Lonchura striata: one gene and its partners. The protein of the gene in region 1 purifies or fractionates together with the protein of each later gene. This does not show direct contact. Links are inferred from orthologs where the notes say so. Each region holds a gene or a part of one and is shown in the gene's direction. Other genes may lie near its edges. The genes, in order: MECP2, YBX1, KPNA3 and GTPBP4.

Region 1 (8,164 bases):
CCCGGGGATCATTTGGGGGGTCCCGGGGGATTTTGGGTGGTCCCGGGGATCATTTGGGGGATCCCGGGGGATTTTGGGCAGTCCCGGCTGACATTTGGGGGGGTCCCGGGGGATTTTGGGTGGTCCCGGCTGACATTTGGGGGGTCCCGGGGGATTTTGGGCGGTCCCGGCTGACATTTGGGGGGTCCCGGGGGAATTTGGGCGGTCCCGGGGATCATTTGGGGGGTCCCGGGGGATTTTGGGCGGTCCCGGCTGACATTTGCGGGGTTCCTTGCCCTCCACCCCCCCCCCCAAGGGGGGGACTACATGTCCCAGGGTCCCTCTGGGGACCCCCCCCAGGTGTCCCCCTAATCCCGGGGGGGTCACGGGTGGCCGGGATTAGGGACAATCCCCCCGGAGGTGGCCCCGATCCGGGGGGGGGGAGGGGGCGGGGGTGGGACCCCCCGAAACGGGGAGGGGGGGTGGAAAAAAGTTGGGGGGAGGGGAGAGGAACCCATGGACTGGGGGGGATGGGGGGTCCGGGGGGGTTTGGGGGTGTCCAGAGGGGGTTTGGGAGGGGGTCCCATATTGGGGAGGGGGTCGGGGAGGTTGGGGGGTGGTCCGGGGGGGGGGTCGGGAGGGGCCGGGGGTGGGGGAGGGGGGATTAGAGCTCCATCCCCGCTCATCCCCCGCCCTCCCCCACCCCGCTCCGGACTGGGGGCACCGTGAGCAAACTGGTGGCCACAGTGGCCGGACTGGTGGCCGTCCTTGCCATACTGGTTTTACTGGTGGCTGCAGTGCCCATACTGGTTCCATACTGGTTTTACTGGTGGCTGCAGTGCCCATACTGGTTCCATACTGGTCTCCGTACTGGTGGCTGCAGTGCCCATACTGGTGCCATACTGGTTCTTTACTGGTGGCTGCAGTGCCCATACTGGTTCCATACTGGTCTCCGTACTGGTGGCTGCAGTGCCCATACTGGTGCCATACTGGTTCTTTACTGGTGGCTGCAGTGCCCATACTGGTGCCATACTGGTTTTACTGGTGGCTGCAGTGCCCATACTGGTTCCATACTGGTTCTTTACTGGTGGCTGCAGTGCCCATACTGGTTCCATACTGGTCTCCGTACTGGTGGCTGCAGTGCCCATACTGGTGCCATACTGGTTCTTTACTGGTGGCTGCAGTGCCCATACTGGTTCCATACTGGTCTCCGTACTGGTGGCTGCAGTGCCCATACTGGTGCCATACTGGTTCTTTACTGGTGGCTGCAGTGCCCATACTGGTGCCATACTGGTTTTATTGGTGGCTGCAGTGCCCATACTGGTGCCATACTGGTCCCCATACTGGTGGCTGCAGTGCCCATACTGGTGGCATACTGGTTCTTTACTGGTGGCTGCAGTGCCCATACTGGTGCCATACTGGTTCTTTACTGGTGGCTGCAGTGCCCATACTGGTTCCATACTGGTCTCCGTACTGGTGGCTGCAGTGCCCATACTGGTGCCATACTGGTTTTATTGGTGGCTGCAGTGCCCATACTGGTGCCATACTGGTCCCCATACTGGTGGCTGCAGTGCCCATACTGGTGCCATACTGGTTCTTTACTGGTGGCTGCAGTGCCCATACTGGTGCCATACTGGTCCCCATACTGGTGGCTGCAGTGCCCATACTGGTGCCATACTGGTTTTACTGGTGGCTGCAGTGCCCATACTGGTGCCATACTGGTTCTTTACTGGTGGCTGCAGTGCCCATACTGGTTCCATACTGGTCTCCATACTGGTGGCTGCAGTGCCCATACTGGTGCCATACTGGTTCTTTACTGGTGGCTGCAGTGCCCATACTGGTTCCATACTGGTCCCCGTACTGGTGGCTGCAGTGCCCATACTGGTGCCATACTGGTTTTATTGGTGGCTGCAGTGCCCATACTGGTGCCATACTGGTTCTTTACTGGTGGCTGCAGTGCCCATACTGGTGCCATACTGGTGGCACTGGTGCCTCTACTGGTCTTGTACTCGTCTCAGTTGTCCCCATACTGGTCCTGCACTGGAGTCTGTGGTGCCTGTACTGGTCCAGGACTGGTGGCCACGATCCCCATACTGGTCCCTGATGTCCCGTACTGGTCCCACTTGTCCCCGTACTGGTCCCAGTTGCCCCATACTGGTCCCAGTTCTCCCCGTACTGGTCCCAGTTCTCCCCGTACTGGTCCCAGTTGTCCCGTACTAGTCCCAGTTATTCCCATACTGGTCCCAGCTCTCCCTGTACTGGTCCCAGTTATTCCCATACTGGTCCTAGTTGTCCCCGTACTGGTCCCAGTTGCCCCATACTGGTCCCAGTTGTCCCGTACTGGTCCCAGTTATTCCCATACTGGTCCCAGTTATTCCCGTACTGGTCCCAGTTCTCCCCGTACTGGTCCCAGTTGCCCCGTACTGGTCCCAGTTCTCCCTGTGCTGGTCCCAGCTCTCCCCGTACTGGTCCCAGTTATTCCCATACTGGTCCCAGTTGTCCCGTACTGGTCCCAGTTATTCCCATACTGGTCCTAGTTGTCCCCGTACTGGTCCCAGTTGCCCCGTACTGGTCCCAGTTGTCCCCGTACTGGTCCCAGTTATTCCCGTACTGGTCCTAGTTGTCCCCGTACTGGTCCCAGTTGTCCCGTACTGGTCCCAGTTATTCCCATACTGGTCCCAGTTATTCCCATACTGGTCCCAGTTCTCCCCGTACTGGTCCCAGTTATTCCCGTACTGGTCCCAGTTGCCCCGTACTGGTCCCAGTTGCCCCGTACTGGTCCCAGTTGCCCCATGCTGGTCCCAGTTGTCCCGTACTGGTCCCAGTTCTCCCCATACTGGTCCCAGTTGTCCCGTACTGGTCCCAGTTCTCCCCATACTGGTCCCAGTTCTCCCCGTACTGGTCCCAGTTGCCCCATACTGGTCCCAGTTCTCCCCATACTGGTCCCAGTTGTCCCGTACTGGTCCCAGTTATTCCCATACTGGTCCCAGTTGCCCCATACTGGTCCCAGTTATTCCCATACTGGTCCCAGTTCTCCCCATACTGGTCCGAGTTCTCCCCGTACTGGTCCCAGTTATTCCCATACTGGTCCCAGTTCTCCCCGTACTGGTCCCAGTTGCCCCGTACTGGTCCCAGTTCTCCCCGTACTGGTCCCAGTTGCCCCATACTGGTCCCAGTTCTCCCCGTACTGGTCCCAGTTGTCCCGTACTGGTCCCAGTTATTCCCATACTGGTCCCAGTTATTCCCATACTGGTCCCAGTTGCCCCGTACTGGTCCCAGTTCTCCCCGTACTGGTCCCAGTTGTCCCGTACTGGTCCCAGTTGTCCCCATACTGGTCCCAGTTCTCCCCGTACTGGTCCCAGTTCTCCCCGTACTGGTCCCAGTTATTCCCATACTGGTCCCAGTTCTCCCCGTACTGGTCCCAGTTGCCCCGTACTGGTCCCAGTTCTCCCCGTACTGGTCCCAGTTGCCCCATACTGGTCCCAGTTATTCCCATACTGGTCCCAGTTCTCCCCATACTGGTCCGAGTTCTCCCCGTACTGGTCCCAGTTATTCCCATACTGGTCCCAGTTCTCCCCGTACTGGTCCCAGTTGCCCCATACTGGTCCCAGTTATTCCCATACTGGTCCCAGTTCTCCCCATACTGGTCCGAGTTCTCCCCGTACTGGTCCCAGTTATTCCCATACTGGTCCCAGTTCTCCCCGTACTGGTCCCAGTTGCCCCGTACTGGTCCCAGTTGCCCCATACTGGTCCCAGTTCTCCCCGTACTGGTCCCAGTTCTCCCCGTACTGGTCCCAGTTGTCCCGTACTAGTCCCAGTTATTCCCATACTGGTCCCAGTTCTCCCCCTACTGGTCCCAGTTGCCCCATACTGGTCCCAGTTCTCCCCGTACTGGTCCCAGTTATTCCCGTACTGGTCCCAGTTATTCCCATACTGGTCCCAGTTGCCCCGTACTGGTCCCAGTTATTCCCGTACTGGTCCCAGTTGCCCCGTACTGGTCCCAGCTCTCCCCATACTGGTCCCAGTTCTCCCCGTACTGGTCCCAGTTATTCCCATACTGGTCCCAGTTCTCCCCATACTGGTCCCAGTTCTCCCTGTACTGGTCCCAGTTGTCCCGTACTGGTCCCAGTTATTCCCATACTGGTCCCAGTTCTCCCCGTACTGGTCCCAGTTCTCCCCGTACTGGTCCCAGTTGTCCCGTACTGGTCCCAGTTCTCCCCATACTGGTCCCAGTTCTCCCTGTACTGGTCCCAGTTGTCCCGTACTGGTCCCAGTTCTCCCTGTACTGGTCCCAGTTCTCCCCGTACTGGTCCCAGTTATTCCCATACTGGTCCCAGTTCTCCCTGTACTGGTCCCAGTTATTCCCATACTGGTCCCAGTTCTCCCCGTCCTGGTCCCAGTTGCCCCGTACTGGTCCCAGTTCTCCCCATACTGGTCCCAGTTCTCCCCGTGCTGGGGCAGCGGGACCCGGGGCGGGCGGGGCGTGGTCGGGGCGTGGCCTCGCGGGGGCGTGGCCGGGGGCGTGGCCTCACGGACCGTTACGGCCGTTGGATTTCAAACCCTTCACAGCGCGGGGGGGCCCAGGCCACGCCCCCTCCGCCGTCTCTTGACCGACGTCCCCTACAGCCAATCAGCACCCGGCGTCCCGGCGCGGGGCCCAATGAGCGGCCGCGCGCGCTCCGCCGACCCCGCCCCCCGTAACTGACAGCGCTTCCCGCCAATTCCAACGGCCCGCCGCGAGCGCCCCGGCCCCGCCCCCGGAGGGCGGCCCCGCCGCCCAATCGCCGCGCGCCGACGCCTTGACCGACGGTGCGCTCCGCCAATCAGCGCCGGGCGGAGGGGCGGGGCCAGCGCCGCTCCGGGTTCCCGTCGCCGCTCGGTCCGGGCCGCCCCCCCCCCCTCCCGCCCCCCCCCTCCCGGCCCCCCCCCTCAGCTTCCCCCCCCCCCCCCCCCCCGCGGGTTCTTCGCTGCGAAGAAAATGGCGGCGGCGGCGCCGAGCGGCGACGAGGGGCGGCTGTGAGTGAGGAGGGGGCGGCGGGGCCGGGGGGGGGCCGCGGCGGCTGTTGGGGAAAGCTGTGAGGGAGCGGAGAGCCGGTGGGGGGGGGGGGGGGGGGGTCTCGCGCGCGCGCGCGCACGGGGCGACGCCCCCCCCCTCCTCTCTCCCTCACGCCCCCCCCCCCCCCCCACATCCCCTTTTCCTTCCCCTCACGGGCCGGGCGGGAACCGGGGATGGCGGGCGGGGGGGGTGTGTGTGTGTGTGTGAGGGCTGGGGGGGGGCTGCGAGCGCCGCGAGTGCGTCACGAGCGGCCGCGGCCCCCCCGGGGGGCGGGAGGAGCCCCCCGGCTCCGGGGAACCCTCGGTGGGACCCCCCGAGCCTTCCTCGGGACCCTCCGCCACGGGGGGACCTCCCTTCCCTTTCCTCCGCCAGCCCCACAAAATGCGGCCCCCCCCCTCCAACCCCATCCTCAGCGCCGCTGTGAAATTTGGGGACACCCCCCCCCCCCCAAAATACACCCCTTCCCCAAAATCCTGTGTGCGTCGCCATCCCGTCAGGGTGGGATTTGGGGACCCCCCATCTCTCGCAGGGACCCCCGCCCACCCCCCCCCCCACAAGGGGACACACCCCCCCGGCCCGTCCCGCGCGCAAAAAAAACCCAAAAAAACCGCCCCAAACCCTTCCCGAGTCGCCCCAAAATCCACCCCGAACCCCCCGCGAGTCACCCCGGATTTCCAGAGTTACCCCAAACCCCCCTAAATCACCCCGTGACTCCCCGAGTTAGCCCGACACCCCCCCCGAAGTCACCCCAAAACCCACCCCGGAGTCACCCCGAAACCCTCCTGAAGTCACCCCAAAACCCACCCCGAAGTCACCCCGAAACCCTCCTGAAGTCACCCCAAAACCCACCCCGAAGTCACCCAAAAACCCTCCTGAAGTCACCCTGAAACCCACCCCGAAGTCACCCCGAAACCCTCCTGAAGTCACCCCAAAACCCACCCCGGAGTCACCCCAAAACCCTCCTGAAGTCACCCCAAAACCCACCCCGGAGTCACCCCGAAACCCACCCTGAAGTCACCCCGAAACCCACCCCGGAGTCACCCCAAAACCCACCCCGAAGTCACCCAAAAACCCTCCTGAAGTCACCCTGAAACCCACCCCGAAGTCACCCCGAAACCCTCCTGAAGTCACCCCAAAACCCACCCCGGAGTCACCCCAAAACCCTCCTGAAGTCACCCCAAAACCCACCCCGGAGTCACCCCGAAACCCACCCTGAAGTCACCCCGAAACCCACCCCGGAGTCACCCCAAAACCCACCCCGAAGTCACCCCAAAACCCTCCTGAAGTCACCCCAAAACCCTCTTGAAGTCACCCCAAAACCCACCCCAGAGAAGTCACCCCGAAACCCACACCGAAGTCACCCCCAAACCCTCCTGAAGTCACCCCGAAACCCACCCCGGAGTCACCCCAAAACCCTCCTGAAGTCACCCCAAAACCCTCCCGAAGTCACCCCAAAACCCACCCCGAAGTCACCCCAAAACCCTCCTGAAGTCACCCCAAAACCCACTCCAGAGTCACCCCGAAACCCACCCCGAGTCGCCCCAAAACACCCCGAGTCACCCCAAAATGTTACGCCTGCGCTGCGCCCCAAAATACCCAAATTTGCCCCGAACTTTCGCACTCACGTGGTGCCCCAAAACACCCCGGGTTACCCCAAAATAACCGGAATTTCCCCAAAATGCTGCACCCCAAAACTGCCTCAAATTATTGCATGCACGTGATGCCCCAAATTATCCCAAACTGCCCCAAAATGATGCACCCCAAAATACCTGAAAACGCCCCAAACCGCTGTTCACGCTGCGCCCCCAAACCCCCTGAATTATCCCAAAATGCTGCGCCCCAAAATACCCAAAATTGCCCCAAACTGCTCCTCACGCCGTGTCCCAAATCCTCTCGATTTACCCTAAAATCCCCTGAATTGCTCCAAAATTTTCTGCTCGTGCGCCACCCCAAAATACCCAAAATTGCCCAAAACGCTGCTCAGGCAGCACACCCCAAACACTCCATTTACCCAAAAATCCCCCAAATTTCCCCAAATTGCTGCACTCATGCAGCGCCCCCAAACTCCCCGAGTTACCCCAAAATACCCTGAATTCCCCCAAAATACAACAGCCCCAAAATACCCAGAATCGCCTCAAAGTTGCTTCAAATGTTCCCCTCATGCTGCTCCCAAAAACGCCTCAAATTCCCCCAAAACAGCCGCGCTCCCGCGGCCCCTCCGAGTCCCCCCAAATTCCCCCAAATCCCACCTGGAATTGCCCTAAAACTGCCCTCACGCCCCGAAATCCCACAAATCATCCCTAAATTTCCCAAATGTTGCCAGAATTATCCAAATTTCCCCGGAACACCCCAAAATCTGGGGTCTCACGCCCACCTTTGCTGTGCCCGGGGTTGTGCCCACCCCAAGACCCCCTTGGGATCCTCAACCCTGGGGCCACCAGGGCCACCCCAGACCCCTCTGGGACCTCCCAGGGACCCCCCAGGGCCACCAAGAGACCACCCAGGGCCACCTCAGCCCCCCGACCATGGGACATGTCGGGGAGTCCCTGGGGGTCACCCCTTGTCCCCAGTCCCCCTCATCCCGCCATTCCCACGCCCCTTCCCAAATTTTTTTGGTGCCGTTTTTGTGACTTTTAGCCCCAGGATGGGGCTGGGGGGTCCCGGCCGTGCTCCCCTCTCGGTGGGGAGGGGTCGGGGGGCTCTCCTGATGTCCAGGGTGTCACCGTGGGGACCCCCAGCGCTGGGGAGGGGGTCCTGGGGGGCTGCATCCCCCTCCCCATGACCGACCCCACGGTGGGGGTCCCGCCCCTCCCCGAGCCTCACCTGTGTGTGTTTCCTCGCCAGGACGGGACCCCCGCGCCGGTGGCAGCGGTGACACCGAGGACGGGGGTCCCACCCCACCCCAAATCCCCCCCTAACGAGGGTCCCGTCCCCGGTGACACCGACACGGGGGTCCGGTGACAGCCCCGGTGACAGCCCTGCGCTGACCACGGCCCCCAGGGCTGGTTTTAGTCCGGCCGAGCCCGGACGGGGCTTTGGGGACGTCCGGTGTCCACTCCGAGCCCCCGTCCCCTCCGTGCCCCCCACACCGCCGACTGACCAGCGCTGGGATGGCATTCCGGCCGCGGC
Region 2 (7,834 bases), on another chromosome or scaffold:
TGACACTACTGAAGGACCAAGGAGTTACCATTTTGCATAGTCTTACCTTGACTTGAAAAAAGTACCACTCCCTCTATCTGAAAAGAGATGTTTTCACTATTTACTGTTACTTAGGTTTCATATTGGTTAAACCAATAGTCTCAGGCTAACATACAGTAAGTGTTCTGTCTCCATTTGTTAGCTCAATTTACTGTAAAATCTACAGGTATTTAAATCTGTCTAGATTTCAGTGTGTTGGGCTGCAGCTTGTCAAAAATCTGCTGTATTAGCCTTTTGGTTGCTGATTTTTTCCAAATTTCAGGAGGCAGTTTGGACTCACAATTTTATACTCACAATACTCACAATTTTTGACCTTCCATTAAATTATATCCAAAGGCAACTGGAATTGCAAAAATGTTCCCTCTTTTGTAATAAAGTCTTAGAGACCTGCAGCACTTCAAACTCTTGGGAGCTCTTGCTATTTGATGAAGTTTCAACAGGGAATGTAATCATTCTTCCATTCCCCTGGTTCTTCTGGTGGCATTTACAGGCTTTTGAAAAAAGTCTGCTAGTAAGGCTGTCTCTTTTCTTGCAGAGCTGTGTTGAAGGGTCAGGTCTCCTTTAGATTTGTACTCCATCCCAGACTTTCTTACCATTTTAGTTTGGAGTACTGTGTCCCTGGCAATCCCCAGCTTGAGCCTGGAAGCTTCACATTCATAGGTGCAATGCTGGTGCCAGCTTACTTATTTCCCTAACAGGTCTTAGGAACAGCCTTGCTGCACTCTCATGTCTCTCATCTGACTGGGAACAAGAACAGCTTTTGCATTGCCTGACGTCAGAAAGCTATATCAGCTACTTGTCAAGATCCTTGAAAATCAGCTGGGAGAAACAGGCACTCTTGCTTTTAACTTCAGAAGTAGATGCAGTTGCCTGACAGGCAGATCCAGGAGGATTCCTGAGTTCTCTGGATGATGAAAGCTGGTGAAGCTTGTGTGTGTAGCAACTGGCATGCATTTAAAATTGCTGTGTGGCCCCCAGTATTACTGCACAGCCTGGCTGTTGTAGGATCTGTTGGGAATGGTTGTCCAGCATTTAGACTTACATGTTTCTTCTTCCTTTCAGTGTTCCTTTACTGGTGATTAGACCTGTGCTGGCTCCAAGCAATTCCAGTTCCAGCCAGCTCACCCACTGCCCAGACTTCTCCACAGGCCAGATCCATCCTCTTGATGTTCTCCTGAAATTATTTAATAATGGGCTTTTTTTTTTTTTTTTTTTTTTTTTTTTTTTTTTTTTTTTACATTTTGAAATGTAATTAAAAAATTTTTAAACATGTGCAGTGCACATCAATTAGCATTAGTGGGAATGGATTCTTCTCTAGGTGAAAAGGGCTGTAACATCTTCAGCAACATGCATTGTCCCTGGCCAGTTAGTCAGGAACATTTACTGATTGGTATTGAAAGAAGGGGTGAAAGGAGCTTGGTAGAGCTGTGCTGCACCAGCTCTTTCACTCGGCAGGTAACTACAACTGCCTGGCTGGCAGAAAGGTTGTTGGCACATCTTGGGAATCTCCAGAACTGAGGAATTGGTATAGCACAGATTCCATCACCGTGAGTGCTACACTCTGAGGAGAGTTCTGATGTAAACAGGTCTTTCAGTCATCGAGCTGTTATGTGCCACATATGTTGGAGGAGGGGTTCACCTGAGTACTTACAAGGGTGTTGGAGCAGGCTTGGGAAAAACAGAATGGTGATGCTATAGGAATGAAATTGGGGCTGCTTGTCCTGTTTAGTGAGGAGAGTGCAGCTGAGGCTGCCTTTCTTCCAGAACAGGGCTGGGAGCTCACCCTCCTGGCAGGGGACAAGCCAGCACCCTACACAGTGCTGGGTTCCAGCAGGAACTTCTCATCCAGCTGTTTAAAGGTAAAGGACCTGATGAAAGTTAGGACAGAGTCTGTTCTGTCACATGCAGGTGATTCATCCCATGTGGAAAGATCCCAACTGTGCCTGGGCAGTGGGTATAGGGTGCACTCTCTGCCTGACCTGAGCCTTGCCCAGCACTGATAGGCTGGAGGAAGTTCCCACAGGCTTAGCTGTGCTCTTTTCTCTCATGGCTCTTTGAAATCCTAGGAGAAGGCTCTGGCTGTCAGGATTCCTACGTCCTCATTCCTAGAATTGCACAGCAGCTGAGAACACTCACTTCTCTCCAGCCTGAGGCATGTCACTTTGTACCTGCAGAACATCAGGTGATAAAAGAAGCACAAGCACCCCAGTCCTTTCTTCCTCAGCCCCACACATGCTTTGCAGAGGGCTCTCCTGTGAGAGGAGGGTTGAAGATTCTCAACAGGCTGGCTCAGGTGCCTCAAGGAGCTATGCCTGGCAGTGCTGTGCTGAGGTTTGCACTTCTGGCTGCTGGTATTCACCATTCAAAAAATTCACCATTTTTTCACCAGGGAAACAAGTTTATTTCTGGTCCAGGATTAGCAGCACTTTTTCAGCCTGATGTATTTATACCACTGCCACCACCTGGCCTCACTTCCTGCATAAAGGGGTCACAGAGCTTCCCCAGATTAATTAAGAGTGGCAAATCCATTACTACCTCTTTGTTATTACAATGGCTAATTACATCCCATTATATTTCCCTTAAACGTGGAATGTTACCTGCTGGCTGAAAGTCTTCTCAAAAACCACATTTTTTGTTTTAATTCCTCCATGATGGTGTCACCCTTGTGTTGTATGTAGCAAATCCTGGAATGTCCTGTAGAGGAGATGATGGAACTCCTGTCAGCTTCCTTCAACTGTGGATGCTGCAGCTGGAGATGGTATTTCTGGTGGCCTGTGCATTTCCTTGAGGGTCTGAGTTGCCTTTGGATTTCACAGTGTTACTCCACAAAGACATCATTGGGGTCCACAGTTTTGGCTGTAGGTGCATGGCTCTGACATTCCCACACATTTCCTCCCTGGAGTTTTCTTCCTCATGGGTGGCTGCCTGGTGTATTCCCTAATTTGCATTCTATAGTAAGATTATTTTTCAGGTGACTCACTGAAGTGGTTTTGGTTTGTTAATTTAAGATTTCTTTAATTTTGAGATTTTTTAATTAATGTGTTGAAGAGTGTGATGAGTTTTAGTGTTGGCTAATCACTTATGTATTTATTTCTTCTTGTGAGATAGGAAGATAGGATTAGGAGAATGGTAAAGTAGGCTTAAAATTTTAAAAGGTATAAAGAAAATTTTATTAACACTAATTAAAAGAAAAAGATAGTAAGAATTAAAATCTTTAGAATATTTTTTCTTTATTTTATAACTTTTTTTAAACTGATTATGTAAAGAAATGAAATTTAAAATTTTTAGTTCATTTAATCCTTTTTAAATAGTTTTTTTTTTTTTCTCATACAAAACTATGGCAGTCACTAAGCAGCATCCAATTTTGACATCATTCTAGCTTTTTTATCCAGGTCATCATCCTGGTGCTGATCCTGTGGGACTGTGTTATTGTTTTCAAGCCCTTCCCTTCATTAACTGAGTTGAAGATCAGGTGGAAGAGTTCCCAAGGGAGCAGGATGAGACCAATGTTCCTAGTGGGTTGATGTGGTGGGTTGAGCTTGGCCTCATTCGAGTCCTTCACCTGGCCAGGGTGGAATGTAGGGAACTGGGATAGTGAACTGGATGGTGATTTGTGTGCAGTGCTGAAAGGGCTGATCCCAAGGGGATACGTGTTGCTTGCAAAAATGGTGGAGTGGTGGGTCATCTCCCAGAGACCTTCTGAGTGGTTGCTGATGACCTTTCTCTCCTCCCATGTCAGACGAATGACATGACCAAAGCAAGAAATGTGGCCACCAACCACATTCTTCAACTAAGGAAAATTAACTTGTTGGACAAGGACAGGGGTTTCCTCGGGACCTTCCCTTTGGGGAACCCTGCAAGAGATGTCGGGTACCTCCAGGCCGCTGTAAGGTGAATCCATAGAGGTAAGGAGGTGCTGAGAGATGGTGGCTGGAGAAAGACTCTAGCAGGGTAAAGGACCCAGCACTAATGCTTTTCCGACAGCCTGAGTGGGTAGAAGGGCTCAGGGTGAGAAGCTGCTCCCGCCCTTCCAGGGAGGGAAGGATGCGATGTCTAGGGAAAAGCTGATTCCCCGCGGGTCAGGTCAGTGCTGTTACTGCACATCCGGACATGGACTGGGGAGCTCTGACAGCTCCAAATCCGTCGTTTCCCACTGGTATTTAACGCTCCCGGGCCCTTCTGGCAATCATTAACGGGAGAGGGCGCCCCCGGCGCGCTAGGCCGGGAGCCGCCCGCAAGATCGCTCTGCCCTGGGTCTTCCAGCGAGCGGAAGCGGGGTCGGGGACAGCGCCGGACAGAAGCCACCGGCGCATGGTCGCGCGCACTTCCCCGATCGTGCCCGGTGGGGGCGGGAGCGGCGGCCGGAAGGGCCAATCAGGGGCGGGGGCGGGGACTCCGGGTCGCCCGGTGAGAAAAGCTGGCTTGGCACCCACGGGCGAAGCAACCAATGGCGCGCGCTCTTGGGGAAAGGCAGGTGTCGTCGCCAATAGGTTTTCGGTGGGGGGCGGTGGCGGGTTGGGGAAAGGCCAATGGGGTCGCTCTCCGTTTAACGGGCGGGCCGGATGGCGAATCGCGGCGCGTGCGGGCGGGGCGCGCGGGGTGACTAACCGGTGCGCGCCGCCATTGTGGCCAGTTCGATCGGTATCGGGAGCGGAGAGCGGAGCTCAGCGAGCCCGGAGCAGGGAGCAGCCCCCCCCCCGCCCCCACGGCCGGCCTCAGTCACCATCACACCGCGGGAGGCGGCGCAAACAGCAGTCACCACCACCGTCCGCACCGAACAGCCGCCGCCATGAGCAGCGAGGCCGAGACCCAGCCGCCCGCCGCCCCCGTCCCCCCGGCGGCCCCCGCCGCCCCCGCCGACTCCAAGCCAAACGGTGGGACCGGGAACGGGGGCAGCGGCCTGGCCTCGGCGGCACCTCCCGCTGGCGGGGACAAGAAGGTCATCGGTGAGGGCAGCTTGGGGTCCCGGGGTGGGGTGGGAAGCTCCGATCCCACTGCCTCTCTCCCTCCATGGCTGAGGTTGGCGCGCGCTCCCTTCCGCCCGGAGGGGCTGTGCGCGCCCCCGGCTCGTGTCCTCGCTCGCGCGGCGGCCGTTAGTCGCCCCCCTCTCCCTCCCCGCCCCGCGCGCCGCCGGCCCCGCGTGCCGGGTGGGGGCGGGGCAGCGCAAGATGTCCGCCACGCGGGGCCTTTGTGCGCGCGCCCTGCCACGTGCCCCTGACGTGCCGCTCCCTCCCCTCCTTCCCCTCTTCACTCTGCCCCTTCCCGCAGCAACGAAGGTTTTGGGAACAGTGAAATGGTTCAACGTGAGGAACGGTTACGGCTTCATCAACAGGTGAGTGCCCAGACGCGGCGGGCCTTGTCACGGGGAGCCCCGGGGAGGGGGGCGCGGCACTTGTGTCCCGCGGGTGACAGGCGGGGGCGGGGAGTGGTGGTGCCTTTGCCGCCTCTCGCCCTTCTTGGTAGAAGGAGCTGGTACGATTCGCCCTTTCTCCACCCCGGGGTTTCTGTCCTGCTTGGGGCTTCCTTGGGGTTGGCTTTTGAGTCCTTTAACCCTGGGCAAGAGCTGCGCTCTCGAAGCGAGTCTGTTTCCATGGCGATGTGTCTTACATTATGGTCTATCCCTTTATGGTGTTTTGGGGTTTTTTTCCCCCCTTAAAGATATAAAAGTGCACTGGCTGTCAGCACACATTTAAACTCCTGCGTAAAGTTCAGTCAATGCAAGTAAAAATTGCTTTTAGCACTTGGTAGTTTAAACACACTCTAATGAGGACACTGTCAGCATATGGCAAAATGAGCAAAAGGAGCATAGTTCACACATTCTAGTGCCACACTCAAGTGCACAGACTGGTCTCATGAAACAAGTGCCTAGAAGATTCTTTTTGTGACAGTAGTTGATGTGAAAGACTAATTTGAACGCTTTGAGAAGTATGTAGGTACCTGAAGTAGGTCTGTCAAGGAGAGGAAGTGCTCTGCAAACAAGTTTTTAGAAAATGGGCAATTCTTGGCTCCATTGGCTGGAGGGGGGCTCCCTGGACTGTTGCTAGAGCTGTTTCCCTTATTTTGTGGTACTTAAACTCCCCAGTCTCAGAATGAGGCTGTGTACTGGGAAATCCCCTTTAGGCCAGCAAGTATAGTGTTATTATTGGAACTTTTGTTTATGTTTGGTTTAAACACTGCCTTTTGGAACTGCCTGTTACTTTATGAACTAGTCTAAATTGTTAAACTCCTGAATTAGTTCTGTGTCTGCAGCTTTACAAACCTGCCTCCCATTCTGTCCAGTTTGCATTGTTCATCATGCCATGCTTCAGTTCCCAGTGTTGTGGAGTCACCAGTGCTGAGAGCTGTTGTCTCTGGCCTTGGAAATGCCTCCCAAGTCCCAGCCACAAACCCCACCTCGAGGGAAGGCTTTTCCTGTTCCCTCAGCAGTGAAAATGTTCTGTGGTGTCAGTCAAGCAAGGAAGCAGCAGCAGCAGCTAGTTGAGACATCCAAGTAGCTTCCCCAGTCATTAATTTGGCAGCTGTTTAATCCCTGAGGTTGCCATTTGTAATGAGAAACCCAGCATGATCTCATATTATCAAGAGATTAGAGGCTGGTAACTGAAGGGGAGGACATTTCCTCAGCTCTGAAATCTTTACCTGGCTGCAGGGAAGCTGTGCAGGAGCTCCTGCCCTTGCATGGCTTTGCTTTAGCCAGGTCTGCTTTCAAATAAAATGAGACTATGGAACTGAAATGAGCTTTGAGGTATGTGCATGCTCACTTCAGGTATTTTCTGAGTCTTTTTAATGTTAGAAGTGTGATTCTGTTACAAAATAGGAAGGAGTTTGAATTCTGGGTCTTTGATGGTTGTTTCTCATGTTTGCCAAAATAACAAGTTGATGTGCCAAATCCGCTGGCTTGGTCTGTACCATAACTGGAGTTGCACTGTCTGGCATGGTATTTGGTGCCCTGCTGGACTTGGCATCTTCTTTGTCTGCTTATCTATTTCCCTTTCTCTAATATATTTTAGTGGATAAAAGATGTGAGTGGAAGAGTGGCATAGTGCAAAGATCAGTTAAATTGTTTGGCCTTTAGAATGGGTGTTCCTCTTGTACCCTTCCAAATTTTCTTTGAAAAAGTGATGGTCCTGTTGTTCCATCATCCACACGGCAGCATGCTTGCTGCTTCCAGATGTGCTTGCTGGAAAACAGCATTGGGAGTGATGTGGCCAATGGCGTGGGGCTGTAAAATGGCTTGATTCAGTGAGCCCTGTGTGATCTCGTCAGTTGTCGAGCCAAAACTCTGATGTCCTCTTGAATGGAAACTGCTTTGCAAATGGATTTTAAAAATAAGTATCCAGTCTGGTTGTCCAAAATTCAACCTGGGCAAAAGTACAAGGTATCCACATTTGTGGATGAGCACTTCCTACCACTGTTTTTTTAGCTGATGATGAAGGAAGGTGCTCAGCATTTTTACTAGAAACATGCTACTATTCTCTTGCGAAGGTTTTCAGCATTTTGGACATTGTGTTTTGAAGAAGAGTCTTTCAGCTTTGGCTTTGCAAGGGCTTCTGAGTGCTGCATTCTTGGGGCTTTGGAGATGATATCAGAATGGCTCTGCTCGGCTGCCTTTTCCCAGTAACCTTTGAGGTCTGTAGGCATCAATTTCAAGAGGAAACAAGGGGACTTATTTTTACTGGTGATGTCTGATGGAATAGCTGTAGCTTGTATGGAGTTTATGGAAGAAGTTAAATTGTCAATTCTCACTTTTTAAAGCTGGGGGCAAGGAGCACCTGGCTTTATCTTACTAAAAACCAGC
Region 3 (7,519 bases), on another chromosome or scaffold:
ACGCGTTTTTCCATCAGAACGCGCCGGCCCTCGCTCGCCAATTTAAAATATCACATGCACAGGCAAGGTCAATTGTCACCACATGCTCCAGTTGCCAGACATTTGCCCTGCCATCGATGGCAACGGGGGTCAATCCCCGAGGACTCGGGGCTCTGGAACTGTGGCAAACGGATATCACTCATTACAGCCCTTTTGGCAGGCTGAAATATATTCACGTGTCAGTAGACACCTTCTCAGGTGCTGTTTTTGCTTCTCTCCATACGGGAGAGAAGACCAAAGATTCAATCAAACATCTATATATGGCATTCGCGACTCTAGGGGTCCCAAAAGCTATTAAGACAGATAATGGGCCTGGGTTCACATCTGCCCGTTTTGAACAATTCCTACAACAATGGGGGATTGCCCATACTACCGGCATTCCTCACAATCCCACGGGCCAAGCTATTATCGAGAGGACTCACAAAAATATAAAACAGTTGCTAGAACAGCAACAAGACTCAGCACTCGCAATGACCCCAATAGAGAGGGTCTGTAAAGCACTTTATGTTTTAAACTTCCTAAATTGCTCAGAAAAAGAACCAAATCCACCAGTCCTCCGACATTTCTATAATAACACAAGAGCCCAGCTGAAAGAACGCCCACCGGTACTCGTGAGAGATCCGGAGTCCAAGCAGGTGAGCGGCCCATACCCGCTCATCACTTGGGGGCGAGGGTATGCTTGTATTTCCACAGGACAGGGCCCGAAATGGATTCCAGCGAGATGTGTAAAACCATTCCTAGAAAGCTCCAACGATCTGGACCCCACACCAATGCACACTTCAACAGCACCCACTCCGGTGCCGCCAGACACCGCGGCCGCTTGGAAGAGGAGGAAACGAAAGACGACAAAACAGTACCCTAACATCGTTTGCAGAACACTCATCACCCGGCTTTATGCACCACCTTCAGCTGACGACCTCCCTAACACCCCGTCTCCCTCTATCCCTTTTCCTCTTCCCTCTTACCTCACCCGTCGCTCCTACCCCACTTAAATATCTAATTTTTTACTTAAAAATGAAAAGGGGGAGTTAGGGGAGTTGGGGAAGAATACCATATTTTTCCTGAATATTTTCTCTTTGCACTTTAGTTCACTAGAGATGGCTGCCTAAAAGACATCCACCAACGACCTACGAGAGTGGACGCCCCGACGTATCCGGCTGGCCGCAAGCCTCACGCTCCTTACCATCATGTGGCTGCAGGCGGCGGACGGCTGGATTGTGCCACAGCCGAAGGAGAACGTCTGGGTAACGCTGGCAAAGTCCCTCCAGCAAGAGAACTTTTGCTTGGCCATGGGCAATGTGGACAACCCGTTGTCCACATGCCTGGTGGGGGTCCCTCTGGTAGCCGATGATTGGCCGGTTTCCAACTCTGACCTGCTCCGAACCACGGGCAGGAGACCTAACCCGGTCGACACTTGGGACGCGTGGACGAAAATACTACCAAATTCGAAAGAGGAGCCCCAAGAATTGGATCTGTTAGGGTCCTCTCCTGCCACCTATTGTGTAAAGTTTTATTTTAAGAGGCCAAGTCAGAATTGGCATGGAATTGACTTGGCCAAAAACACATATAGAAAAGACGTTACACCATTGAACAAAAAATATAATTCGGCTACTTGGTGTAACTACACAAGTCCAATTATTTCTGTCTCCTCCAGTCGTCCCAAGTCGTTACCCCGGGGGATGTTTCTTGTCTGTGGGGACAGAGTATGGTCAGGCATCCCATCTCGGCTCCAGGGAGGACCATGTAGCCTTGGCAAGCTTACTACCCTCACTCCAAACAAAACCCAAATTATGGATTGGAAGAAAGAGAGACAATTGGCCAGACAAAAAAGATCCTATGACCAATTCGACCAAAATTGCGATGACAAAATTTATAATTGGGGAAAAACAAAGAGGGTTGCCGCTTCCATCTTTCTCCCATGGTATGCGGTCGCTAAAGCCCTCGGTGAGCTTTCTCACCTGGAGTGCTGGATAGCAAAGCATGCCAACGCATCGTCCGCCGCCCTCTCCGACCTCTTGGCGGACGAACAGACCACCAGGCAGGCCACCCTCCAAAATCGGGCGGCGATAGACTTTTTGCTGTTAGCCCATGGCCACAGCTGCGAGGACTTTGAAGGACTGTGCTGCTTCAACCTAACATCGAGAAGCAAATCCATCCAAGCCAGCATCCAGCGTATCCAGACACAAGTCCAACATCTACAAACTGAAACCTCGGCTGTGGACCCTGCCACCAAGTTGCTTTCTCAATGGGGCGTCCCGGGATGGGCAGCCTCTATCCTCCGAGGACTTTTATGGATTTTAGTTATTGTCCTTATCATTTTAGTTGCCCTAGCAATTTTTAAGAGGATGTTAATTAAGACCTTAGGGAATGTTTATTTAATTAATAAAGAAGGGGGAGATGTGGTAGGGGACTTGGGGAAAGCCCCCCCGAATATGCCTTGGGAGGAGGCTGTTGTGTAGATCCCCGCCTCCGAGCTGCCCATCAAACCTACCACTCCCCTCTTGTTATGTAACCTTCAGTTATGCCCACCTTTATGTCAATCACTTTTGTACTTACCCTTTATTCTGGAATGTTCTTAAGTTCTTTGTCTACAATTGGTTCTTCCCCTGTTACCACCCCCTTCCCTTATTCCCATTTGTTGCATCCCCATTATCTCATCCCAACTCCTCCTCCTAGCCCTATTCCTATTGGATCCTTTGTACCATGTCCCTCCTACTTGCTCCCTAACATAATCTCTACCCCGCCCCCTGTTCGAGGCTCTCGGAGCCAGCTCCCTTTCTGTGAGGCTGTCTACCTGTACCCCTTCGCTCAGTCCCTGACACTTAGCCCTCAGAGATTAAAGCTGCTTCGAAGCCAACCCGCCTTCGGCTGGAGATTTCTTTATTCCATCGTCCCTGCTCCCCGGGATCTCCACCACTGGAGAGCCGCCCGACAGGGGACCCCAGGGACAGGCTACCATCAATCTGGAGGTGCTGGGTCTGTCTGCAGTCTGTCCAAATGCTCCCAGAGGGAGTCGTGCTGCAATAATTTTGACAGGTTGGGGACAATTTGTTGGGCTGGCAGAGCCCCTTTGTATTCTGCATTGAAGCTGGTATGTAGCTCCAGCTACCACATAGAAGTGTGGCATGAAGGGTACGTTGGCAAAGTGCTGGATTTGTTTTTCCCAGGCAGGGCTTGCTTTCATGGCAGACTCACCAATGGGGACTCAAAGCTTCCAAAACACCTGGATTTCTTAGATGCTTGCTGTGCAGCATTTCCCAGGCTGCATGCAGCAATGTTACTGCAGTCATGAGGAGCAGAGGGAGGTGCAGAGCAGACCCACAACACAGCCTTGGCTGGCAGAGCTGCCTGAGGCCACTTTGTGCATGAGCCTTGCCAGTGGGGTCACTCCAGGGTGCATTGTGGGGAAAATCCCACAGCTAACAAGACCAGTGGGATCCTGCAATGCATTAGGAAGAGCATTGCCAGCAGGACAAAGGAGGTGATCCTGCCCTTCTACTCAGCCCTGCTGAGGCACCTGCTGGGGTGCTGTGTCCAGTTCTGGGCTCCTCAGCACAAGAGACACACGGAGCTCCTGGAGCAGGTCCAGTGAAGAGCTACAGAGATTAATAAGGGATTGGAGCATCTCTTTTGTGTTGAAAGGCTGAGGGAGCTGGCCCTGTTCAGCCTTGAGAAGAGATGACTGAGACATCTCATCAGTGTCTATGAGTGAGTGAAGAGAGGGTGCCAAGAGCATGGATCTGCTTGGTGGTGCTGAGCAATAGGACAAGAGGCAATGGGCAGAAACTGATGCACAGGAAGCTCCACCTGAACATGACAAAAAACTTCTTTACTGTGTGAGTGACCATACATTGGAACATTTACCTGGAGAGAAGACTGTGGAGTCTCCTTTACTGGAGATATCAAGAACCATTTGGACACGATCCTGCGCCATGCGCTGTCAGCTCGCCCTGCTTGAGCAGGGAGATCGGACCAGATATCCCACTGTAGTGCCTTCCAACCTGACCTGTTCTGCGATTCTGTGTGCACAGTATCGTTAGGCCCTCGGCTCTCCCGCCGGCGTCGAGCTGGAGCCCCGCGGCCGGTCCGCCGCTCCACGTGCGGAGCCGCAGCCTGCTGGCACTACCCGCCCCAGAATGCCGCGCGGGGCGGGGGCGGGACCAGAGCCGCGCCGCCGCGCCGCGATTGGACAGCGTCCGCCCGCCCTTCGCGTCACGTGCGCTCGCACCGCCCGTTCCCCGCCCCCCCGCCCCTCTCCCAGTCACTCAGCAACGGCGCGCGCGCGCCAGCGGCCCCCCCCCTCCCCGCCCGTTTCCCCCTTGGCGCTCGTCACGGAGCGCGTCCCGCTTCCCTCCGCCCCTCGCGCGAGCCGCCGCCGGGAGCCGCCGGAGCCGCCTCGCAGGAGCCGCCATGGCCGAGAACGCCGCCGCCACCGGCCTGGAGAGCCACCGCATCAAGAGCTTCAAGAACAAGGGCCGCGACGCGGAGGTGCGTGTGGGGCCGGCGGGGCCCCGGCCGGGCCCGGCCTCCGCCAGCGGCCGGCGGAGGAGGGGCCGGGCCGGGCTGGGCCGCGCTCGCGGCGGGAGGAGGCGGCGGGGGGAACGCCTGGGGGGGTTTTTCTTCGCCGTCATGCGGGCGGGCGCGGCCGGCGGGGGGCGGAGGCGGCGGCGGGGGAAGGGTTGGCGCGGCCGGGCCGCCCGCGGGCCCCGGGCAGGGCCGGCGGGATGCGGCGCCGTCTCTTCCCGCCGCGCTCCCCGCTCCACGCCGCTGGCCTCCGCGTCTCGCCGCCTTCCCCCGCCCGGCGCTCGGATGGGGCCCCGGACAATGGTGCCGGCCGCCTTTTGTGCCGCCCCCCCGGGGCGGTGGCGGCCCTTCCGCCGGAGCTCGGGGCTGCCCTGCCCTCGGCCCGCGGTGCCGCTGCCGCGCACGGAGGCCCCTGCCGTGCCGGGGACCGCTCCCACGCTCTGGTGAGCCTGATTGCGGTGTGCTGCGCTGGCCCGTTTTGTTTCTTGTATCAACCCCTTTCTTCTTTTCAGTTTTTATACTTTATTTTCAAATGCTGGTAGGCACGTCAGTAATGGTTTCCTGGGCATCTGCGTCTAAATGGGGAAGGAGTGCGGTACTCGGTAAGACTAATGGGGTAGTAGCTTACTCCCCCGAATTTGAGAGTTTCAGGGTTATTGGGAGCTTAGTCCCCAGAGATGTTCCAGAGGTCTTCGAATCTGCGTGTCATTATCGGACACATCTTCATTTCTACTCGCAACTGAAAGAGGAAATCCCAAATCTCGTATTTAAGTTTCTGTAATAGGAAAGGAAGGGGGAGGGAGCTCTGAAATCAGGCTAGAATTGAAATCGGCTTAGGATTCGCTGGAGTGAAAACCTAAATATGTGTCGGATTACTTTGACTTCACCTGAGAGTGTTTTCCATGGTTCTGTTGATTTTATCACTTTACTCCGTAATCAGTAGACTGGAATTTTAGTGCTCTGAAAGCACATTCTGTATTTTGGCAGAATTCACAGTTCTGCTGCTATTGTTTGGGTGGAGACAATTTTATGCAGGTCAGGCTTAGCAGCAGCAATGTCTTTAAGATGACATTCGCAGTGTAAAGCAATCTTTAATTTTTATTTAAGACTGCATCAGCGAGTCTTTCTTACAGAAAACCTTGCATGTAAGGAGTATGATAACTTCCAACACTTCTGGCTAACATTAGTAAACGTTAGAAAGTAACTAAAAATGGCCCATCCTTCTGTTTAGCAGTAGCTTCTCAGGGTAAGGAGGGGGCGTGGTGCATTTCTTTTTCCTCTTCTCATCCAGTGAGGCCCTTCCTGCTGCTCCTCATTCATTTTGTCCTTGTCTCATCCCTCCGTATTGGTTACTGGCTTTGTTGCTGCTTTCTCAGTAACTGGCCTGAATCCATCAGAGCTCTAAACAGGGAAAGGTTAGGTATGTTCATGCCTAGTGTGAGCTGATCTGTCATCCACGCTTGCTTATATTATAGCACGCTCAAGATGAGGGGAATTAAATATCTGCCTCCATGGGGAGGAAGGAGAGAATGGACTGCCTAAGCTTTGCTGAGATTACTTCTGCCAGACCAGCTAAGGTAGCTTAGCTCTCATTTCCCCCTGAAGAGGAGTTATTATTTTGGAGTAGTGTATTTGCTGTTATGGAGAAGTATATCCCAGCCTTCCAGTGTACTGACTGATTTCCTTTCTGTGGCTGAGCCTAAGACTGGTGCAGAGCTCCAATAATGGTAATGTAGTTAAAGCTGTCATATCTGCTTTTGAAAAGGGTTAAAACCTAGGTAACATACTTCGTTTGCACTAACAAGTAGATAAAATGCAGAGGTGTTTTAAAGTTGTATACCCATGGAGATATGCTAAAATGAAATTTAGTTTCATGTAAAGGACTGTTAAAGATTGGAAATGTTTCAGTGTCTTTCAAAACAGTTTAATTTGTGTTAAATGTCTGATATTTTCTACTAAACATCCTTTTTGACTCTTTTCTGATTTGGGTATTTAAAAGTTCATGTTAGAAGTACCCTTCTGGAGTAAACTTTATCTAACTTAAGCCTCTAAAAGTAAAACAATGTAAGTTAAGATTAGAGTGGAGAACGAATGAGCACAGCAGAGCTATATAATTGCCATTAGGTACTGTGCCTCTCTTGAGGAACTGGTACACAGACTGGCCTGCTGATTGCGCAGATTGTCTCTATGTAGTCAAAGTTACTGGCTCTTCACAAAGTATTTGTTTTCTAAATCGAATATACCTGATTCTCAACTGTCAGCAATTAAATACACTTGGTTTGCTCCCTGTACTGCGATAAAGAGTTTGACATAGAGATCCTGCCTCCACTTTTCTCTACTCATCTTTGGACATCAGGAGGCAACAGTGCTTTCATTGGCATTGATCTACATCTTCTTATTTTGTCAAGTTCCACCAGAGAGAAATGAAGTATTTAGAATGATGACATGATAAATCATGATCTGATATCTAGATTATATCCTTTGGAAAATTTAAAATACTCAAAGCTGTACTGTCTCAGCTTCAGTTTGAAAACAGTTGCACTTGAGTCACCTTCTGCCTGGAGACAGTCATTGCCTTTGAACACATCAAGCTTGAACACATTCTTTAGTAATCTTCCTTTGACTGCTATTAAATACTTAAGAGTTGCTATTGATCCCCTCCGGGAACAGACTCTTCTGGCAGACCAAAATACTTACTCCTTTAATTTGTACTTAACCTGTATTTTATTACTGGGTTTGCTGGGACATATAATTGTCTTTGCTTTTTCTTAATGCAACTTTAAGGGAAACAAAAGATGGGTAAGTACATTTGGATTTTGCTATGGATCCCATTGTGATTTTCTAAGAGTAAAGGAACGGATCTGTTGAGCAGAAATCAAAGGTTCTGAATCTTTGACCTGTAGAGGTTCATTCTGCTTTTTCTAGTTTCAAGTTTGGGTGGAAGTTCCATACCTCT
Region 4 (7,805 bases), on another chromosome or scaffold:
CTGTCTCCTCCCTCAACAAGCAAAAGAGGAGCAGCTGGGAAAGGCAAAACGTGGTGGGTCTTTATTGTACTTCCTTAAACAATTTCAAAGTTTTCCCAGGATTACACAGTAACTACAGCTAATAATACTGTATTCCTGAGTGTATTCCTGAGTGTGCCTCAGCCATGTTCCTGAGATGCATTAGATGGCATTATTCTTCTGGGGCAGTATTGTCGCTCTCCAAAGCACTTTGATCCATCACCATGCATGCCCTTTGTAATAATAATTTAGTAAGAGAGTCTGAATCTTAATATTACAATTTTGGAAGTTCCCTTTGTGTGATGTGCCTTTTGTGTGCTGATACGAAATGGCCCTGTTTCAAAATAAAATCTTGCTCATGATATTTCAGATACTGCAGGTAAGTGTAAGCACTGTTGCCTGTTTACAGCTTTATTTTCTGTATTTAATGTGATACTTCTGGGCTGGTAGTTCAGAGATTGATGCTGTCTGATGAAGCCTGGAGGAGCTGCTAGAGAAGAAGCAGTAGTTTTTTGTACCTGGCATCTACCAGTGTCTCTTGGCCCTGACCTCTTGCATCCAATCTACAGAGCAAAAAGGTTAGGGAAGCTGCCAGGTCTGTTTGTGGCCATGCCTTTCCATTGTGTGGACCAGAGTGGGACTGAATATTTTTCTTCAGCTTGGCTACTGATATGGAGATTTTCAAAACCAAGGAATTAAACTGAAGCAAAATTGCTTCCAGAAATACCATTTTCTGACTAGCCTGTTAGTTGGCTTTTAAGCTGCTGAAATCAAAAGGTGAGGCAGACTGCATATTGCTGCCAGACCAACAGCTTATCAAACAACCCCTCTGAAAAGCTTTCTTCTGTTATGGAAACAGGAGGAGAGAAAGGACGCTGGGGAAGGGTCTGCAGCACAAGTCGTATAAGGAACAGCTGAGGGAGCTGGGAGTTTTTAGCCTGAACTGGTGCCTTGATTTTTAAAAGTGTTAAGATTTCTTTTATAGTTCTTTTGAAAGTTTTAAAGCTCTTTTAAAAGCTTTCCATGCCTTCTGATGTTTACATATTTCTACTGGAGTTCTCACGCACTGTTCATGTAAATAATGATTATTTTGCATTCTTCTTTGTAGGAGGAGAGAATTGATGGACTCTTGGTTTGACCAGTGTGGTTGGAGAGGTGGCAGTTTCATCCTCCAATCCACTGTCACTTTTGGGATTCTATATATTGTGAGGTCAGAAATAAATTTGGCTCTTTTTCTCTTCTGAACTTACCAAGCTTCTGTGCACTCATTTCGTGTCCTATAACGACACTAAACAACAGGAGGCTCAAGGGTGACCTTCTCACTCTCTACAACTGCCCAAAAGGAGACTGTAGCCAGGTCGGTCTCTTCTCAGACAACCAGCAACTGGAGGAGAGGCCATGGCCACAAGTTGTACTCGTGGTTGAGGTTTAGGTTGGACATTAGGAGGAATTTCTTCACAGAAAGGGTGATTAGACATTGGAACGGGCTGTCCAGGGACGTGGTGGGGTCACTGTCCCTGGAGGTGTTTAAGAGAAGACTGGATGTGTCACTCACTGCTGTGGTGTGGTTGACATGGTGATGTTGGGGCATAAGGTTGGATTCCATGGTCTCAGAGGCCTTTTCCAACCTGATTGATTCTGTAATGCCATATCTAGTAATAATGCAAATTCCTGCATGTGTTCTGCAGAAGCATTTCTTACAGAGGAATACTTGGGTGGCTCCCTGGGCCTTGTCCGTTCTTGTGCCTGTTTTTGGAAGTTCCTCTCTGGTGGATTGGCACAGCACATGAACCTTGCTGGTGCCATTAGTTACCCTTGCACAATGCACATGAATAATTTTGTGTTTTTCAATTTCAAATTGATATGAATTACAGTCTACTAGAATGGTGTTTAAAACATGAAATAGAGAATAAGTGTTACATGCCTGAAATATATCATAAATATGAATGAGAATGTCTGAGTGTAGAAAACCAGCTAGGATAAGGAATTTTCTGGTCCAAAAGAAACATAACTTGACATGGTCTTACTTCTCCTGACTTCTGGAACAAGAGGACACAATGTCTAGAATGGTACCCAAATTTTGTCTTGAAATTTGTTCTCTTGAAAACTGTCCAAGAAAGTAGTAATGCACAGGCAGTGTGAGAGCAGGGGTGCCAGGGCCTGCTCCTGGATAATCTGAATATTGAGGATCAGCATCATAGGGGGTGCACAGAGCATGTCTGCATGTGAGTCTGGAGTGCCTGCAATGGGCATGTGAACCTTGGGGGCTCACATGTAAAAGTGCCATGGACTGGGGAAAGCTGAGACTGCTGGTTCCAGCTGCTGGGCAGTCTGAATGTCCCAGGCCACCTCATGGAAGGATCTTTCCAGAAACTGGGGAAATGTGGGAATATACTTAGAGAAAAGCTCCTTCTATTCCATAAAATGACGTATTTGCGAAATACAGTATAAATAAAGTGTGAAGTCAAATCTCATTGCTCAAGAACACCTCAAGAAGACAGACTGAAGTAGTCATATCAAAATGTTTAGGAAGCTGCATGTCCCTTCAGAACAGGGCAGCTGCAGCCCCACTGTGAGGCCAGAGACAGGAATGGTTCTAAGGGCATGTTTATCATCCAGTAGTGCTCATGCAGTCATTACTACAGTTAACTGGAAAGGATTAACTATCATCTGGCTGATAAAATGAGTTCTTACTTTTCAAATAGCTTACAAATTTCCACTGCACTGGACAGCTGTTTGGAGCACTTCAGCAAAACCAGGAGCACAGTTAAATAAAAGAAATGTAAAAGGAGTTATGCATTAAAATTCTAGTAGTGTAGAAAAATGTGCAATCACAGATTAACATATAAATAAATTCTCTCAAGTGAATAATGTCATGTTTTGTGTGGAGATAAAAAACCCAAACTAGTGTGGAAGCCAAAGGAATTCCTAATTTTTAATCTAGTTTGCCTCCCAAAGAGTATCAAGTAATTTGCAATTTATTTAAAACTGATGTGCATGCCAGCTTACTGTCGAGTAGAAAACAGGGATATACATGCAAACTGCAGGATGTGCCTACATTCAGGTATCTTAGATATCTGTATTTCTTGTTTGCTGAAGATACACAAAAGACCCTAGAGCACAAGGTACAGTCAAGTTCACAAACTGCTCCAGAATTCACTCATGCTTTGTCTTTATCTGAAAGGATTTACAATTAAGAATGAGACAAGTCACTAAAAGTTATTATGAAAAAAAAGAAATTAAGGAAAAGCAATAATAGAGGGAAGTAAGAGTGTGTTTGTTTTGGGTTAGGAATTCATCAGGAATTTGTCAGAATTCATCAGGAGGTGAGGCTGCTGCAGCCCCATGACCACAGACCCAGCTGAAAGGAAGACTGAGCATGTACCTGCAGCGGGAACACACACACCCAGTCCAGATATTTCTGTGCATGTGTCCACCCACATAGAGACTCGACACTTGGATCATTCTGGCCCCTGGGAGCCCCTGCTCTCCCAGTTGCACTCACACACACATAGAGAGTGGTTTGGGTTGGAAGGGACCTCAAAGATCATCTCATGCCAACCCCCTGCCATAGGCAGAGACACCTTCCACCAGACCAGATTGTTCAAAGTCCCATCGAACCTGGCCTTGAACACTGCCAGGGCTGGGGCAACCACAGCTTCTCTAGGCAAGCTGTTCTGGGTCTCATCACTGTGAGGAATTTCTCCCTAATATATAACTTAAATTTCCCCTTTATTCAGTTTGTACCCATTACTCCTTGTCCTATCACTCACTGACAGAGTCCCTCTCTGGCTTTGCTGTAGGCCCCCTTTAGACACTGGAAGTTTCCTGTGAGGTTTCCACACAAGCTCCTCTGAACAGCCCCAAGTTTCTCAGCCTGTCGAGTGTGTCTATGCATGTACATGTACACTGACAGTGTGCATGTACCACGATCCCTCCATTCCTGGCACCCTGGAAACACGGCCACCATGGATCTCTGCCTCTTCTCCTGTGGCAGGCACTTGGCTTCTCACTCACAGGAACAGAACAGAAAGCCTCCTCAATCTGGAAAATGGTCAGGAATGGAGTTTAGTAAAAAGGGCAAACTGTAGTAATGGCATGTGCAAGGTATGAGCAGATATTTTTACTGACCGTGTGTGCTACCAGCCTCTTTTATTCGCTTTTCTCTCCATTTCCCCAAACTTTTCCTCCCTTATCAACATTAATCCATTGGTCTTCACAGATTTCATTCTTTCTCTAAACATCCCATATGTCATTCAAGACACTGAGGTGCTGAATCGTGTCCAGAGAAGGGCATGGAGCTGGAGCAGGGTCTGAGCACATGTTCTGTGAGGAGCAGCTGAGGGAGCTGGGGGTGTTCAGGCTGGAGAACAGGAGGCTCAGGGGGACCTCATTGCTCACTACAGCTCCATGAAAGGAGGGGCTCGGCCTCTTATCCCAGGCAACCAGTGACAGGACAACAGGACACAGCCTAAATTCCTTAAAGTTTGTTTCACTAGAACCCTGCTCGCGGTCAAGTGCTTCTCTGGCAAGGCCAGACTCAGCCCCAACGCTCCCCCTCCCACACTCCCTCTGTCTCGCCCTCCCTCACCCGCTCCCCTCCCTCTCCCTCCCGCTCCCGGCGGGCGGGGCGCGCGCAGCTCTCGCGAGAGCGCCGGGCGCGCTCCCTTTCCGGCGCGTGGCGCGGCGGTGGCGGCGGCCATGGCGCTCTACAACTTCAAGAAGATCACGGTGGTTCCGTCTGCCAAGGTATGGCCGCGCTCCCACGTTCCTGCCCCGGCCCCTGCTTCTGCCCTCCGTGCCCTCCGCACCGGGCCGTCCCTCCCGCTCGGCGGCTTCGAGGACCGCGCTGCCCTCCTGCCCCTTCCGCGGTGCCGGCGTGGTGTCGGCCTTCGCCTCCTCCCCCTCCCGCGGGAGTGGTGGACTCGCCCGTGCCGGTGCTGCTGCGGCCGGCGGCCCGTACCATGTACAGTGCCGGGGGGGTCCCTGAGCACGGATCCTTAACGCCGCGCTGTCCCCCACAATAACCCCTCTCGTTTTACAAACCTGCCTCATACCGAAAGCGTCTTGCTTCAAAATAAAGTCCTCCACCAGTCGGAGGAAGGGTTTTTAAATGCAGCAGGGTGAAGGGAGCTCCAAGCAGGGCTCGGTCTGGCTGGGGCGGCTGGGCCGGGGGCAGCCAGAATAGAAACTTGGAATAGAAACGGGGCAGGGAAGGTGCAAACTGCTTATTCCTGCGTGCCTAAAGCATTCCTCTCAAACTGTGGATGCACTTCACTCGTCAGCAGCCTCCTCCACCAAAAGAAAATTGTTGCCTTTACAAGAACTTGGCGTTTCGTGTAATTAATCATGTTTGCTCCATTGCAGGACTTCATAGATTTGACATTGTCAAAGACTCAGCGGAAGACCCCAACTGTCATTCATAAACATTATCAAATCCATCGGATTCGGCATTTTTATATGCGAAAAGTCAAATATACTCAACAAAATTACCATGACAGACTCACTCAGATCTTAACAGATTTCCCGAAATTAGATGTAAGTGTTTTCTCATTTGCTGATTACTCTGTGTAGACAATTTGGCTGATTTAAAGCAGATTTTACTGTGAGTAGTAGGCAAAACCTGTACTACAAAAATAGTATGCTCCTGTGAAGAGCAGAAGTCTAAGTTGTGCTAGTGGATGGCCATTAAAAGCTGGATTTTACAAGCTTTTAGCTGATCAGATATGTTTACCAAAAGTTGCTTTTAAATTAAGGTAGAATGTGGGGGGTTTTAAGTATATTGTGTCTGCTTGCTTCTTATTTCTTCTGTGTGTATGCATATGGAAATTGTACTTATATTTAGTCTTCTCAAGGAAATACCAAGAAATATAATATATCATATTGCTTTCCATCTTCAGGAGTTAATTTGACAACATAAAATGTTGTCCTTGGCCCAATAAAGGGTGGGGTTAGAAACACATTATTAACTTCCAACAACTGCAGCTGTATTCATTTCCCTGTGGGACTTTTTTATGGGCAGTTTTCTGCTCAGACTGAAATTATTCACTTATTAAATTGTTTTTCTTGATAATTTCATATCCGGTGAGTGTTGCTCCAGAATTCCCAGAAATATCTTCTGGGTTTTTTTTTCATCACCATGATGAAATTTCTTCAGGTAAATACATAACTAGCTGAAATACTGTACTTAAAAGATTTGTAGCAGAGATGCCACTTCCTTGAAAAGTTGAGGATTTATTTGGGCATTAAAAAATCTCTTTTTGTCCAGTCTTGCATAGAATTTCATTGCAGCACTCATAAAAGAAAAGGAATTTATAGTACTGCGGTATTTCTGCTATAATATGAATATCCTTTGAGACAATTTCTGTTGGCTTCTTGCAGTTTTTTCTTTGGAAAAAGAGACTTCAAAGTTGTATTAGGAAGTATTTCAGAAAGCAAAAGGTGAAATGGAGACTCTGTATGAGTAAGTCAAAGATGTGTTTGCAGAAGAAATTCAGAGGAATTAAGATTCATGCATTTAATGACCAAGCAGATTATTTTTCTGACATATGATAGTAATGAAAATTGTTTGGCTTTTGCTGTCATTTGTGTTGCTGTACTGGAGAAAAAAAAAAAAACAAAACAAATTTATGTGCAAGAAATAGAGTAAGAAAGTATGAGACTTAACATCATGCTTTTGTTTTAGGATATTCATCCTTTTTACGCGGACCTGATGAATGTCCTGTATGACAAAGATCACTACAAGTTGGCTTTGGGGCAGATCAACATTGCCAAGAATCTGATTGACAAGTAAGGGGCGTTGATTTCTCTGGTTTTGCCTGTGCCTGGTGGTTGGTGGCTGAGCTCTGCTCTCCTGTGCCCGCAGCGTGGCCAAGGACTACGTGCGGCTGATGAAGTACGGGGACTCCCTGTACCGCTGCAAGCAGCTCAAACGGGCGGCCCTGGGACGCATGTGCACCATCATCAAGAGACAGAAACAGAGCCTGGAGTACTTGGAGCAAGGTTGGTGTGAAATACGGGCTAAAAATGCATTGGATATAAAGTTTATTACACTTAGTAGCAGAAGAATGTGTTTAGTAGAGGTTACAGATCCAGGAAACACAGGAGCACTTTTTAAATCCTCAAATACTTGTGTTTATTTTGTAAAAAAATAGTTTTGTCTTTGAATATTAATTAAGTGTTATGGTATTGCTAACAGTGATAAAACTTTGTTTAGAAGTCACAGGCATGCTTTTACTTACCATTCTTTTCACTAACATATATGTGAAAAATACTCCTTACTTCAAACTTATTAGTCTCAGGTTGTGTTGCCTGATTTGGTGGAGTCATTCTAGCTGTAAGACAGTGGTCTTCATTTCTTAAATATTTCTTAAATTTTATTTTTGTTGTACGTAGATACTTGTGGAGTCCTCAAGGTATTACATACCTTTATGAATGATCATATTATATCAGCAGTGTTACTGATTTTTAGGACAATTCAGATATATATAGTTATTCCATCTCAGTAAAACTTAAATTATCAGAGATACTTAAAAAATATTTTTAATATTTCAGTACGACAGCATTTGTCTCGTTTGCCAACCATTGATCCCAATACACGAACTCTTCTGCTGTGTGGCTACCCAAATGTTGGGAAATCCAGCTTTATAAATAAGGTATGTGAGTGGTTTTTCCATAGATAATATTGAGATACAATTTATTTAAAATAAGGTAGCTTCTAAACAATTTGATTTAGTTGTGGCTGTGTCTGATGTGAGTAGTAGCAAGTTCAAAAGTGTGAGTAGAGG

The links.
Region 2: the proteins of MECP2 (region 1) and YBX1 purify together in Homo sapiens (affinity purification with western blotting; 3 studies listed by BioGRID, with this or other methods). This does not show direct contact. The link is inferred for Lonchura striata from reciprocal best matches to the Homo sapiens genes MECP2 and YBX1.
Region 3: the proteins of MECP2 (region 1) and KPNA3 purify together in Homo sapiens (affinity purification with mass spectrometry; 3 studies listed by BioGRID and IntAct, counting the BioPlex papers as one, with this or other methods). This does not show direct contact. The link is inferred for Lonchura striata from reciprocal best matches to the Homo sapiens genes MECP2 and KPNA3.
Region 4: the proteins of MECP2 (region 1) and GTPBP4 purify together in Homo sapiens (affinity purification with mass spectrometry; 3 studies listed by BioGRID and IntAct, counting the BioPlex papers as one, with this or other methods). This does not show direct contact. The link is inferred for Lonchura striata from reciprocal best matches to the Homo sapiens genes MECP2 and GTPBP4.

What each region holds. Positions count from the first base shown.
Region 1 is NC_134638.1:1,378,183-1,386,346, forward strand, and holds the start of MECP2 (methyl-CpG-binding protein 2), read left to right. Parts: upstream 1-4,948; 5' UTR 4,949-4,957; coding exon 4,958-4,995; intron 4,996-8,164. UniProt on the Homo sapiens protein: Chromosomal protein that binds to methylated DNA. It can bind specifically to a single methyl-CpG pair. It is not influenced by sequences flanking the methyl-CpGs.
Region 2 is NC_134626.1:8,503,947-8,511,780, reverse strand, and holds the start of YBX1 (Y-box-binding protein 1), read left to right. Parts: upstream 1-4,665; 5' UTR 4,666-4,828; coding exon 4,829-4,985; intron 4,986-5,307; coding exon 5,308-5,371; intron 5,372-7,834. UniProt on the Homo sapiens protein: DNA- and RNA-binding protein involved in various processes, such as translational repression, RNA stabilization, mRNA splicing, DNA repair and transcription regulation.
Region 3 is NC_134604.1:62,575,457-62,582,975, reverse strand, and holds the start of KPNA3 (importin subunit alpha-4), read left to right. Parts: upstream 1-4,342; 5' UTR 4,343-4,449; coding exon 4,450-4,527; intron 4,528-7,519. UniProt on the Homo sapiens protein: Functions in nuclear protein import as an adapter protein for nuclear receptor KPNB1. Binds specifically and directly to substrates containing either a simple or bipartite NLS motif.
Region 4 is NC_134603.1:146,564,485-146,572,289, reverse strand, and holds the start of GTPBP4 (GTP-binding protein 4), read left to right. Parts: upstream 1-4,663; 5' UTR 4,664-4,719; coding exon 4,720-4,767; intron 4,768-5,385; coding exon 5,386-5,556; intron 5,557-6,703; coding exon 6,704-6,807; intron 6,808-6,883; coding exon 6,884-7,020; intron 7,021-7,572; coding exon 7,573-7,673; intron 7,674-7,805. UniProt on the Homo sapiens protein: Involved in the biogenesis of the 60S ribosomal subunit. Acts as a TP53 repressor, preventing TP53 stabilization and cell cycle arrest.